Linked DNA regions of Arabidopsis thaliana. The protein of the gene in region 1 interacts with the protein of each later gene in a biochemical or structural test. Each region holds a gene or a part of one and is shown in the gene's direction. Other genes may lie near its edges.

The links. Proteins that work in one complex are often made in the same cells at the same time.
Region 2: the proteins of AT3G02280 (region 1) and AT5G18400 form a complex in vitro, tested with the Arabidopsis thaliana proteins (one study listed by BioGRID).

What each region holds. Positions count from the first base shown.
Region 1 is NC_003074.8:451,448-458,409, forward strand, and holds AT3G02280 (Flavodoxin family protein), read left to right. Parts: upstream 1-1,881; 5' UTR 1,882-2,063; exon of another isoform or gene 2,064-2,141; 5' UTR 2,142-2,198; coding exon 2,199-2,339; intron 2,340-2,567; coding exon 2,568-2,648; intron 2,649-2,753; coding exon 2,754-2,858; intron 2,859-3,379; coding exon 3,380-3,471; intron 3,472-3,764; coding exon 3,765-3,949; intron 3,950-4,226; coding exon 4,227-4,306; intron 4,307-4,542; coding exon 4,543-4,617; intron 4,618-4,709; coding exon 4,710-4,820; intron 4,821-4,901; coding exon 4,902-5,033; intron 5,034-5,165; coding exon 5,166-5,285; intron 5,286-5,374; coding exon 5,375-5,591; intron 5,592-5,679; coding exon 5,680-6,212; 3' UTR 6,213-6,422; downstream 6,423-6,962. UniProt on the Arabidopsis thaliana protein: NADPH-dependent reductase which is a central component of the cytosolic iron-sulfur (Fe-S) protein assembly (CIA) machinery.
Region 2 is NC_003076.8:6,092,156-6,096,705, reverse strand, and holds AT5G18400 (Cytokine-induced anti-apoptosis inhibitor 1, Fe-S biogenesi), read left to right. Parts: upstream 1-1,625; 5' UTR 1,626-1,829; coding exon 1,830-1,832; intron 1,833-1,931; exon of another isoform or gene 1,932-2,022; intron 2,023-2,133; coding exon 2,134-2,281; intron 2,282-2,525; coding exon 2,526-2,692; intron 2,693-2,773; coding exon 2,774-2,869; intron 2,870-3,092; coding exon 3,093-3,252; intron 3,253-3,329; coding exon 3,330-3,460; intron 3,461-3,545; coding exon 3,546-3,620; intron 3,621-3,712; coding exon 3,713-3,751; 3' UTR 3,752-4,024; downstream 4,025-4,550. Other genes in the region: AT5G18404 (uncharacterized protein), read right to left, coding at 300-557; AT5G18403 (Putative membrane lipoprotein), read right to left, coding at 991-1,205, 1,315-1,363; AT5G18390 (Pentatricopeptide repeat (PPR) superfamily protein), read right to left, coding at 4,373-4,550. UniProt on the Arabidopsis thaliana protein: Component of the cytosolic iron-sulfur (Fe-S) protein assembly (CIA) machinery. Required for the maturation of extramitochondrial Fe-S proteins.

The sequences.
Region 1 (6,962 bases):
AACGAAAACTATAAGAAAAAGCCCTAGCAGTCTGTTCTTCTCAACTCAAGTTTGGGCGAATCCACCATGAAAGTAATCTTCTACGCTTTTAGTGTTTTTTCTAATAAGCTTAACTTTTGTTAGAGCTCATCTCTAATTTTTATGGTATAAACCAATTGTTATGCTATTTTTTAAAAATATTGTATAATGTTATAGTATACTCGATAACTATGTCATAAAAGTGGCAAAAACTTTTCTAGTGAAGAAAACATATCAACTCACTTTGATTTCTTTAGGGGCTCAGCTAAATCTAGTTTTAATGGTTGCAGAACAAAATGAAAATAAAAATTTTAGTATCTCAAAATCTAGTTTCTATTTTTTTTTTGTGACAGTAATCAATGATTTCAAAATAACCAAAAACCTCGTAATAAGATTCAATTGAATCTTAAAACTACACAACTTTCAGAACTAAAGAATGACGAAAAACGAAATAATAGAGGAGAAGTGGAGGAGCTACTACACAACTATTTTCATTTTTCTAACCAATCAGAGCGCACCGGACTACGCCCACTCGCACCAACTTCGCGTCACGCGCTCCGGACCACGCCCACTCGCATCAACCTCGCGTTGAGCGCGTGTCGTCGATTTCTGTAGGGGTAAACCCACAAAATCATGCCTATTTTACATCTACTCGCTTTGTTTCCAAAACAGCCTCGAGTGACTTTTTCTTTTGTTTTTTTTTTCTCAAAACCGTACTATTCTAATACAAACCGAACCAAAATTAATTTTCATTTCACAACCATCTAAACCAAACAGAAATCACTTGTAATTTCAAAACCTATGTACGCCGAACCGAAATCTATTGTCATTTCATCAAAACCATGTAAAAAGCTTCTTCGATTGTTTTAACATGCAACTGAAAATAACAATCCTAATTTATCAACAGAGAAATATAGAGATACCAACGAAACTATGGGGATGACAAGTTATCATCTTATCCACATCTCTGTCCAGTGTGAGTTTCACGATCGTTGATTTAATAGGTAACAAGGACCAGAAGCTGCGGCAGCAATGAAAGCTGATCTTGTTTCAAAGCCACCGCCAAGTCTTTTGGTTTTGCATACCGCTTTCACACATTGGAAGACCAAGGAACATGAGACACATACTTCTGCTGACCTATATAGGAATCATAAGTAACCACCAATGTTGGCATAAGCAGAGAGTATGAAAACTTTTGTTACTAATTTAACATAAAAACAGTATGATAACAAAATGAATACATGCGTAAACTCTGCTTCTTCTAAGACACATATATACTAAAAGTTCCCCATTTGAGGCTCCATTTAAGAATGAAATTGAACAATTGAGGTTCAAATTTTCTTACTTGTCCCACAGATGTTTCCACCAATGCAAACCACTTGAGCTGTTCAATAAAAGCCTTGCAACACTTGGGATATAATCGGAAATTAGATGACAATAAAACGAACCTCTGAGATATTCGACAAGGTATTTCTTAACTTGAGTAAGGTCTGAAACGATTTAACTACTCTACCTTTGATTTTGAGAAGATGATTACAGTTGTGATTTTGGTGGAGACAAAAATGTCCATCTATGTATGTTGCTAGCCATCTTTTTTCAGATACTTTTGTCTTATTTTCGAGTTACAAGTTACAAGGCACTATGCTCTGTAACTAATTTTGCATGTCTTCCACTTATTGTGTTGTTGTGTCTTTTGGTGGATTAAGCTAAGAGATCAACAAGACAAGAAAAAACCAACATTTCTGTTCTGATACGTGGATTGCTGGTTAAATACGGTTATATAGATGTTGGTTTAGTGGTTTAATTCGTATTGTATACTTTACAAGTTTGACTTTGTATTTTTCAAAAAAAAAAAAAAACCTAGCAGTCTGTTCTTCTCAATTAAGTATGGGCGAATCCACAGTGAAAGTAATCTTATTCTCCTTATGGATTTCTTCTTACGCACGACTGTGAAGTAGAAAGCTCACCATCTCTCTTAGAAGAAGAAGAACACACTGTACATTGGTTCAAGATCAATTTGGCTTGGCAGATGCCCTGTTGTTCTGGTACAAACATTTGGTTCTCCACTAAGATTTCTCGATTTAATTCGGTTCTGATTTTAACTTGCCAATTTAAATCATCAGACCGGGATCCGGTTGTGCAGTTATTCTTTATTCGGACGGGTGGTGGCAGTGGCGGCGATGGGAGAAAAACAAAGGAAGCTGCTTGTGTTGTATGCCTCTCAGACCGGAAACGCTCTTGATGCGGCGGAGCGTATTGGCCGCGAAGCAGAACGCCGTGGACTGCCAGCTTCTGTCGTCTCCACCGACGAATTCGACACGGTATGTGTGTAGTAAAACCAATTTGATTTTAAAAGCTCGTTACTTTGTTTTGGAAGATGGTTTGCTTCGTTTTTATATGATGATTGCTAATATGTTTTGGAAGCAAACCCCTTTCAATTGCAAAAATTGTTGATTGCTGATATGTTTTCCCCTCGCCAATAATCAGCTGTTAGCGCAAACTCTCGACATAAAAGTGTTTTCCTTTTTATCATGTGTTGTTTTCTGCAGAGTTCCTTACCTCATCATGAGGAGGCTGTTGTTTTTGTTGTCTCCACTACAGGGCAAGGAGACTCTCCTGATTCCTTTAAGGTTCGTTTAAAGTCCTGAAATTTGTTACCAATTAGTTTATTCCTGTAAAACGCTTTTAATTAATCGTAGCTTATTATTGTTCATTGTCTTTTTCAATCATTCAAGGCATTTTGGAGGTTTCTTCTTCAAAGAAATCTGGGAAACTATTGGTTGCAACAAGTTCGCTATGCAGTGTTTGGACTAGGTGATTCTGGTTACCAGAAGTACAACGTAAGTTCTTCTGCCTCTTTATATTCAGTTTCACTTTGTTTTAACATTCCACATGTTTCGTTATTCCCAAGTTTCTCCAGTTTTGTTTTAATCTATTCATCAATGTGAGAAGAAAAAACTAGGCTTTACTAAGGAAGAATGATATTAGCAAACTTTCCTTTCTATTCAGGGTTATTTCTTTTTGTAAAAAGAATCCTCATTGCCAGAAATCGTGGGATGATTTATTCTCTGTGGCACAAATTCATGACATGATTTATATTCAGTTTCGCTTTGTTTTAACATTCCCCATGTTGGGCTATTCCCAAGTTCCTCCACATTTTTTTTGATGTTTTAATCAATGTGAGAAGAAAAAACTAGGCTTTACTAAGGAAGAATGATATTAGCAAACTTACCCTTCTCCTTTCTATTCAGGGTTTTTTATTTTTGTAAAAGAATCCTCACTGCCAGAAATCGTGAGATTTGTCTGATTTATTCTTCTGTGGCACAAATTCATGACATGATTCTCTTTCTGATGGCTTTAGTTTGTAGCAAAGAAGCTAGACAAAAGATTATCAGATCTTGGGGCCACAACCATCATTGAAAAAGGTCTAGGAGATGATCAACACCCATCAGGGTATGATACGGTATATTAAAACAAATAAAGAATCCTGCTTTTACATAATATTCTTTGAAATCAGATGAACCATTTGGTCAGTTGAAGATATTGTATCCACATTCTTACTGTTCCTGGTATACTACTATAAAGTCCAGTGTTAGAATACTAAGTTTTCAGTTTTGGTGTTTTCTTTATTTTCAGATATGAAGGAACCATTTGATCAGTCAGTTGTATCTACATTCTTACTGTAGTTTTATTAGTCCAGTGTTAGGATACTAAGTTTTCAGTTTTGGTGTTTTCTTTATTTTCAGGTATGAAGGAACTCTTGATCCGTGGATGCTTTCTTTGTGGAGGACATTATATCAGATCAATCCAAAATACTTTCCTAAAGGTCCAGATGTGAAAATTCCTCAAGATGAAGTAATTGATAAGCCTAAATATAGGATTTTATTTCATAAGCAGGAGAAATTGGAGCCTAAATTATTGTCAGATTCAGGTATGCCAAAATTATTGAGTGGATACTTGGCTTCATTTATGTTAATTTATGACTATGTTGTGCTACTTAACATTGAATTGCCTACTTGCTAATGGTAATTGCTAGAAATGTTGGTATAAAAATCATTTTGAATGAATCTGCTGGAAGTAGGCTCACAAATGTTATGTTTCAATTGGCTCGTGAAACTAATTTCTCTTGCATCATGAAAAAGGTTAGGTACCATATTACATGTTTTTGGGAATTTATCTTGTTTAATATGCCTCTTATGTTTTTGCAGATATCATACAAAGAGCCCGTGGAATGTCCCCAGGAAAATTATTCAAGGACAAAAGTAAACCAGACTGCTTTCTCAAGATGGTATGCTCATCCTGTTGCCCAACAAAAAATTCCTTTTCTTTTTCATTCTGATATGCTAGTCAACCTCACTGGTTATGCTATTCCAGTCCTCTGTTACCTTGAATCTGGTGTGTTGCTTGATGATTAACATGTTTTCTTAAAATATCTGATTTTGCCTTTTGGTATGCATTATTATGCTAAGCCTAGATGATATGAGGTTTATTCCCTTAGCTTGCCTTAACATTCTAATCATGTAGACCCGCAATGAAGTCTTGACTAAAGCTGAAAGCACAAAGGATGTCCGCCACTTTGAGTTCCAGTTTGTTTCTTCTGTAAGTACTTTGCTGTCACTTACTTAGGTCAAAGTTCAGTCGATTTTGAGGGTGATTTCTTATTATCCTCTTTGGTTTTCTACTCTTTTAAGACTATCGAATATGAAGTTGGCGATGTTGTTGAGCTTCTTCCAAGCCAAAATTCTTCAGTGGTAGATGCGTTTATAGAACGCTGCGGTTTAGACCCAGAATCATTCATTACAGTAAGTAGCTCCACTCTTGTGATATAAAATTATCTCAGATTGTTATTCAAAATAAATCCCGAGAGTTATTTTTTTTTTCAGGTTGGTCCGCGAGAGACAGAGAATAGTAGTTTTAGTGAAGAAATGATTACACAGATCCCTATTAAGCTTAAGACTTTTGTTGAATTAACAATGGATGTTACATCCGCTTCACCTCGACGATACTTCTTTGAGGTAAGAACCCTTTAATTTCAATCATTCAGTTCTAATGCATTTGAATTTCAAATCTATGAAAGTCCTTTGAGTTTTATGAGACAAGTATTTGATGGACACCCTTGTAATGTATGATGTATCATCTCTGTTCAGATTATGAGCTTCTATGCAACAGCTGAACATGAGAAGGAAAGACTTCAATACTTTGCCTCACCCGAGGGGCGGGATGATCTCTACAATTACAATCAGAAGGAAAGAAGAAGCATTCTTGAGGTAAAATAGCACCAGATCTCACAGGTTCATGATTCGTCTTGAATATGCATTCACTCTCTTAACCAATCGTATTGCTAATGCCTATGTAGGTGCTAGAGGATTTTCCTTCCGTACAAATCCCTTTTGATTGGCTAGTACAGTTAGTCCCACCGCTAAAACCAAGAGCTTTTTCGATATCTTCGTCTCCTTTGGCCCACCCTGCCGCAGTACATTTGACTGTAAGCATAGTATCATGGATCACGCCTTATAAGAGAACTCGGAAAGGTCTGTGCTCCTCTTGGCTTGCAAGCCTCGCACCTGAACAAGGTTAGAAGTTTGTTTCTTCTTTACCATAACTGTGAATGGCTCAGTTCTCTATTTCTGATATGTTTTCTTTGTCTTCGGTTGTGGTTAGAGGTAAACATACCGGTTTGGTTTCACAAAGGCTCCCTTCCTGCTCCATCTCAGTCGCTTCCGCTCATCTTAGTGGGACCCGGAACCGGATGTGCGCCATTCCGTGGATTCATAGCTGAGAGAGCCGTACAAGCTCAGTCTAGCCCGGTTGCCCCCGTCATGTTCTTCTTTGGTTGCAGAAACAAAGACACAGACTTTCTATACCGCGATTTCTGGGAGTCTCACGCAAGAGAAGGAGGCATGCTCTCTGAAGGAAAAGGCGGTGGCTTTTACACAGCGTTCTCTAGAGACCAACCAAAGAAGGTTTACGTGCAACATAAGATCCGCGAAATGAGCAAGAGAGTTTGGGATTTACTCTGTGATGGAGCCGCTGTTTACGTGGCGGGCTCGTCGACGAAAATGCCTTGTGATGTGATGTCGGCTTTCGAAGATATTGTGTCGGAGGAGACAGGAGGAGGATCAAAGGAGGTAGCTTCACGGTGGCTTAAGGCTTTGGAGAAGACAGGGAGGTACAATGTTGAAGCTTGGTCTTAACTCTCTAACTTCCTTCATATGTAATCTTATTACATATATGTTCTCTGATTATTTTATTGCTGGCACATTAATTTTTATTTTTATTTTGATAATTCATACAAATTAATTAAAAGTGAAGATGATGTGTCGAAGGTTAAGGTTGATATAGATTTAGTTTTGAAATACATATTTTTTTGTTGGTTTGTTTGTTTTTCAAAATCGTTAATTGGATAACACTAGATATTAATTTCTGTTTAAATTTAAATATCACCAATTAAGTAACATGTGTCATGTGATTCTAATTAAAGAGTAAAACTGTTCATTTAGGATTTTTTTAAAATCAGATTTTATAATCAATGCAAAACCTCAACTAGTCTAAATTTCTGAAGAAAGTAGTTTGCTTTTACTTTTTGTATGGAAAGTAGATGACACTGACACGAAAAAAAAAGAGATTAATTTCAGTATTAAACGAAAAAATAATTGCAGAAGCACAGAATAATCGGGCATGCGTGAGTAACAAAATAATTATTCGTCCTCCATTAACCCCATAAAAGCAGTGAGATTTCGATAAAAAAAAATGTGATTTGGAAACAGAAAAAGGAGTTTTCAAACTTACAGAAAAACATTTCTTATACGTCTAAAATTCAAAAAGTTCAAAATACAAAGTCATCTATATAATAATCTAAGCGTAATTATATTATGTTCTTTGATTATCATTATTATATAGAATTTTGTTATTTTTAAAGGTCAACTTATTTTCTGTTTGAAGCT
Region 2 (4,550 bases), on another chromosome or scaffold:
TTATGTTACAAAATAATTAATTTTATAAGTAACATTTATCTTTCAAAGAAGTAATAGCATAGTTATGGTATTTAGTAATTGAATGTTTATTTCAGATTAAAAGATAATACTCACAAACTTTTTGATCGTTTTGTTTATGAACTTTTTATATGTTAAGTGATATACAAAATAAAATTATAATCGTTTTGTTCTAATGAATGCATATGTAGTTACATTTAGAGGTGTCGAATCCACTCATTCTCTGTCTGAATGTTCTTTTTTTTTTCTTCTTTTTTAATGTGTAAGAAAGGGATGGTCACCTATTTTGAGTTATGGACACACAAGGCCAAACATGTGTGTCGGGCGTGCGACCCATCGGGACGGTTTGTTGGAAGAGATGAAGAAAGCTCGATTGGGCGGCTAAACAACCATATCTTCTCCATGCTTAAAGCTCGTTGTCCTCTCGAAGACAAAACGGCTTGTGCCATCAAACAAAGCCGCGCACTGCTGTCACATATCAGGTTTGAGAATGATGTGTCTGCTTTCGAGACTTTAATTACCTCAGAGAGGCATTTCATGACGATTGTTGATTTGTTTCTTTATATTTTGATATATGGAAGATGTGTCCTTTTGTTTCATTATAAGACCAAAAAACTGCTAATTTTGTTTTCTCCTATCAAACGTTAATTAAAACAAAACTGTTTTATTAGTTGCGAAATCCGAAGTATTTCTACAAGTAATCACAGTTTTTTTTTTTTTTTTTTTTTGGCGCAAACAGTGAATTTTAAGATTAAACTTGTGAGAAATAAGTGAAAGCAAAAGATTAGAAAATGTAGCACTCACTTATAGATGGTTGAATCATCGAAATCAATATATGACAGAAAACTTACATAAAAAATCGTTAAGAAAAGAGGAAAACAAGAAAATTTATTTTATTTGATTAATTATAGAAATGATGATCAATAATCATCACCAAACTATAGGTGTATAACAATGACAAAGTTTTTGTAACTACGGTCCGTAGCCACCCATGAATGGATAATAACAACGACAGACAAAGCCTTTACAACTACGAAAATAGAAACCGACACCCTTTACCATACAACGACGTACACAATCGTAACAAAAGTCATCTTCAACTGTTGATGGGCCTTCTACCACCTTAATATCAGGACGCTCTCCTTTTGGGCCCGGTATTATCACCACTTTCTTGTTCTTCGATTCACCTATTATTATACAACAAGATTATTATTAACTAAAATATTATTAGAGAAAGAAAATATAGTTAAATTATTGATATACGTTTGATTCTAAGATTAAGTTATAAATACTTACATGATGAAACTAAGATTAGAATAGTTAAGAAACAAACAATTGTCTTCATTTTGTTTTCCTTAGAAGTTATTAATATGAGATAGTGTCACAATGTCATATATATATACCTTTTATTTATGTTACAAAATACAGTAGTTAACGTTTTTTTTCTTAAAAGTAGTTTTTTTTTTTTTTTCATATTAAAATGGGCACTAAGCCCGTGTGTCTAAATGGGCCGTATCTATTACTTTTGGATCCGAACCCGTTTTAAAAAACACAATAAACAATCGGGTAACCCGTTTTTTTTTTTTTTCCTGATTTCTCTACGTAAACCCGGTTTGACCAAACCGCGTTATAGCAGAACCAAGGAAAAGGAAAGAGTCGGCGAAAAAGATATAAAAAAGCCAGCGAGAGAGACAAAGGTCAGAAGATTTGATTTTTCTTATTCCTCTTCAAAGGCAAACAATTTACACAGCTATATATATATTTTTAGGGTTTTTGAGTATCTCGCGAGGTTTTACATAGATTTCTCCATTATGGTAAGTTAATGTTTCTGTTGTCTATCTTCAATTTTATTTTCTGATTGTTTGTTGTTCCTCAGATCGATTTCTGTTTTTGTGTATCTCTAAACTTTTTAGCCTTGTGTTGGGTTGCGCGAATCGATTATTTGTTTCTCTTGATTCATTTGCATGTCATAAGAGCTTCGGGAGAAAAAAATTGCTTCTTTAGGTTGTAAAAAGCAATAAAAGTTGTTAGCTTTTTGTGTTTGTAGCTTGATGATCTGTGGATTTTATTTTCAAAGTTTAGTCTTTTAATGTTTTTGGGTTTTTTGGTTTGTAGGATTCGATGATGAATCAGAAGACTGTTTTGGCTGTGACGGATGATGTGGTGTTACCTGTTAGCTCTGTTTTAGCTATAATGAAAGAGCTTGGAAAGGAAGTGATTGAGAGTTTTGATCCTCTGATTATTACTCAAGCATCCACAATAAGTAAATCTCTGTTCCTAATTGTTCTCCGATTTTTTTTTTTAGCTCAGGTTATGAAATAGTTGTTAGACTGCTTTAGTTAAGCTTGTAGTATGGTTAGTCTGGTGTGTATGTAGATAGGAAGATTCGTGTCTGTATATGGAGAGATGAGCAATTTTGTAGGGTGAGAACACTTGAAGACGACATGCTGTGGGATATTCTTTTGTGTCCTCTTCTCTTTATGTTGGACTATTGATTATTTTTGCAGATCAGTTTCCTTTGGATGCTTCCTCTGTGGAGGCGGTATTAGCCATTTCCAAAACATCTGATTTCCCAAGTGATAAAATATGTGGTGAGTTCTCAAGAATCTTGAAGCCTGGCGGCACGGTTTCTGTGTGCAAAGTTTTGGAGGGTGAAACGGGAGAAATTCAACAGGTTTGTGTCGTGTATCTAGTCTATGTATAATGGGGTGTCTTTGAACTTTTCTTTATTAATCTTATGGCGTCTTCCTTGCAGACCATTCAAAGGAGAGTGACATTGGCTGGTTTTCTTGAGCCACAGTGTCTTGATTTGAAATCAATTAAATTGTCTACGTTCAGTTTATCCTTTGGGGTGAGCACTTTTACACGTCCTGTCTATCTTCTCTTTCTTTTAGTATGAGGAAACGTTTTTTCTTGAACGGAAATAAGAATATAAGCTTGCTTTTTCGGTTCAGGCTTATTCTAGGCCTTTAACATGAAGGATAAAAGATCTTCATTCTACTTATCTGTCAAACTTGCATATATACTCTCACTTTGTCTCATCATATAACAGTTAATCATGTTGTCAAATGCAGATTAAGGCAAAGAAACCTTCTTGGAAGATTGGTTCATCATTTGCTCTCAAAAAGCCTGTAACAAATCTCTTTAAGATTGATCTAGATGACGACGTGGATCTTATTGATGAAGATTCTCTTTTAACAGAGGAGGACTTGATGAAGCCACAGCTTCCTGTTGGTAATTAAAGACAGCCACATGATCTTTGTTATCCTTATATCATTCCTTGTGTTTAAGATATCTTGCATCTTTTGCAGCCAGCGGTTGTGAGACCACTAAAAAAGCTTGCAAGAACTGCGTCTGTGGTAGAGCTGAAATTGAGGAGAAAGCTGTGAAGCTGGGCCTCACAGAGGATCAAATCGAGAATCCACAATCATCATGCGGCAGCGTAAGCTTCTTTACCCATCTCTTTCTCAGTATGCATTGGATTTTTGGTTCCACAAGACTGAAAATTTCTTAAACAATTCTTTCAGTGTGGGCTCGGTGATGCCTTCCGCTGCGGTACATGCCCTTACAAGGGTCTGCCACCCTTCAAATTAGGCGAGAAGGTAACTGAATCCTTTATATCTATCACCATTGTAAAGTCTTGTTAATCCTTTTAAGAATACACCTTATTCATGTAACTTTTCTTCCTCTTTAGGTAACCCTATCTCAAAACTTCCTTGAAGCTGACATATAAGCATGTGAAAGGCATCTTCATACATGGGTGTTTCTCGCCGAGGCCAAAACCTTTTGCTAATCGCAGAGTAGTTTCATCATTTACTTTGTGCCCTTTCGTATAATTTGTTTGTTGGTACTTCTTTTATTTTGTGGCTCTAAAAGCTTGTAGAATATTGTTTGGGTTGCCCACAAAGCACACACCTTAGTATCAATGAAGAACGGTTTTGCATTGGTTAAATAATTATTTCTCTGTCTGGCTTGGACCTTAGTTTTGCAAACGAATCAATGCATTAACATCAGAGCTTGTATTATGTGCATCACTGTTTCTTTGGTAATGTGAGCTCTGAAGATTCATCTGTCGTAATCTGTACGAAAAGCACAATACGTAAATTTGATCTGACAGATGGATCTATAAAAAAAACAGTAGTACAACAAAATGTTTCTCGCCACTTTCCCTGGAAAGAAACTAGTCAGGAGACCAACTAAACTCAACCCCCAAACCGAAGTATAACCTAACCAACAGTTAGACAAGCTTCGACTACAAGATATACAGGGTAGATCAATGGAGAAGTAGCTGAATTTCTACAGAATCCCAAGTATCCGAGTTTAGGAGAAGCCTCAAAAGCCTTTCTTAGCAGTATCAAACTCCTCTAAGCTGAACTTCCAACTGCTCTATTCGCATAGCCAAATCATGCTTCCCGCCATTCTTCAACCCATCAGTAACCATATCAAAGCACCGTGATATCGGAACCAAACCCATCTCTGTCATCTCAACCAAGTAATTAGCCGCATCCACAAATTTCCCACCACGACCACAC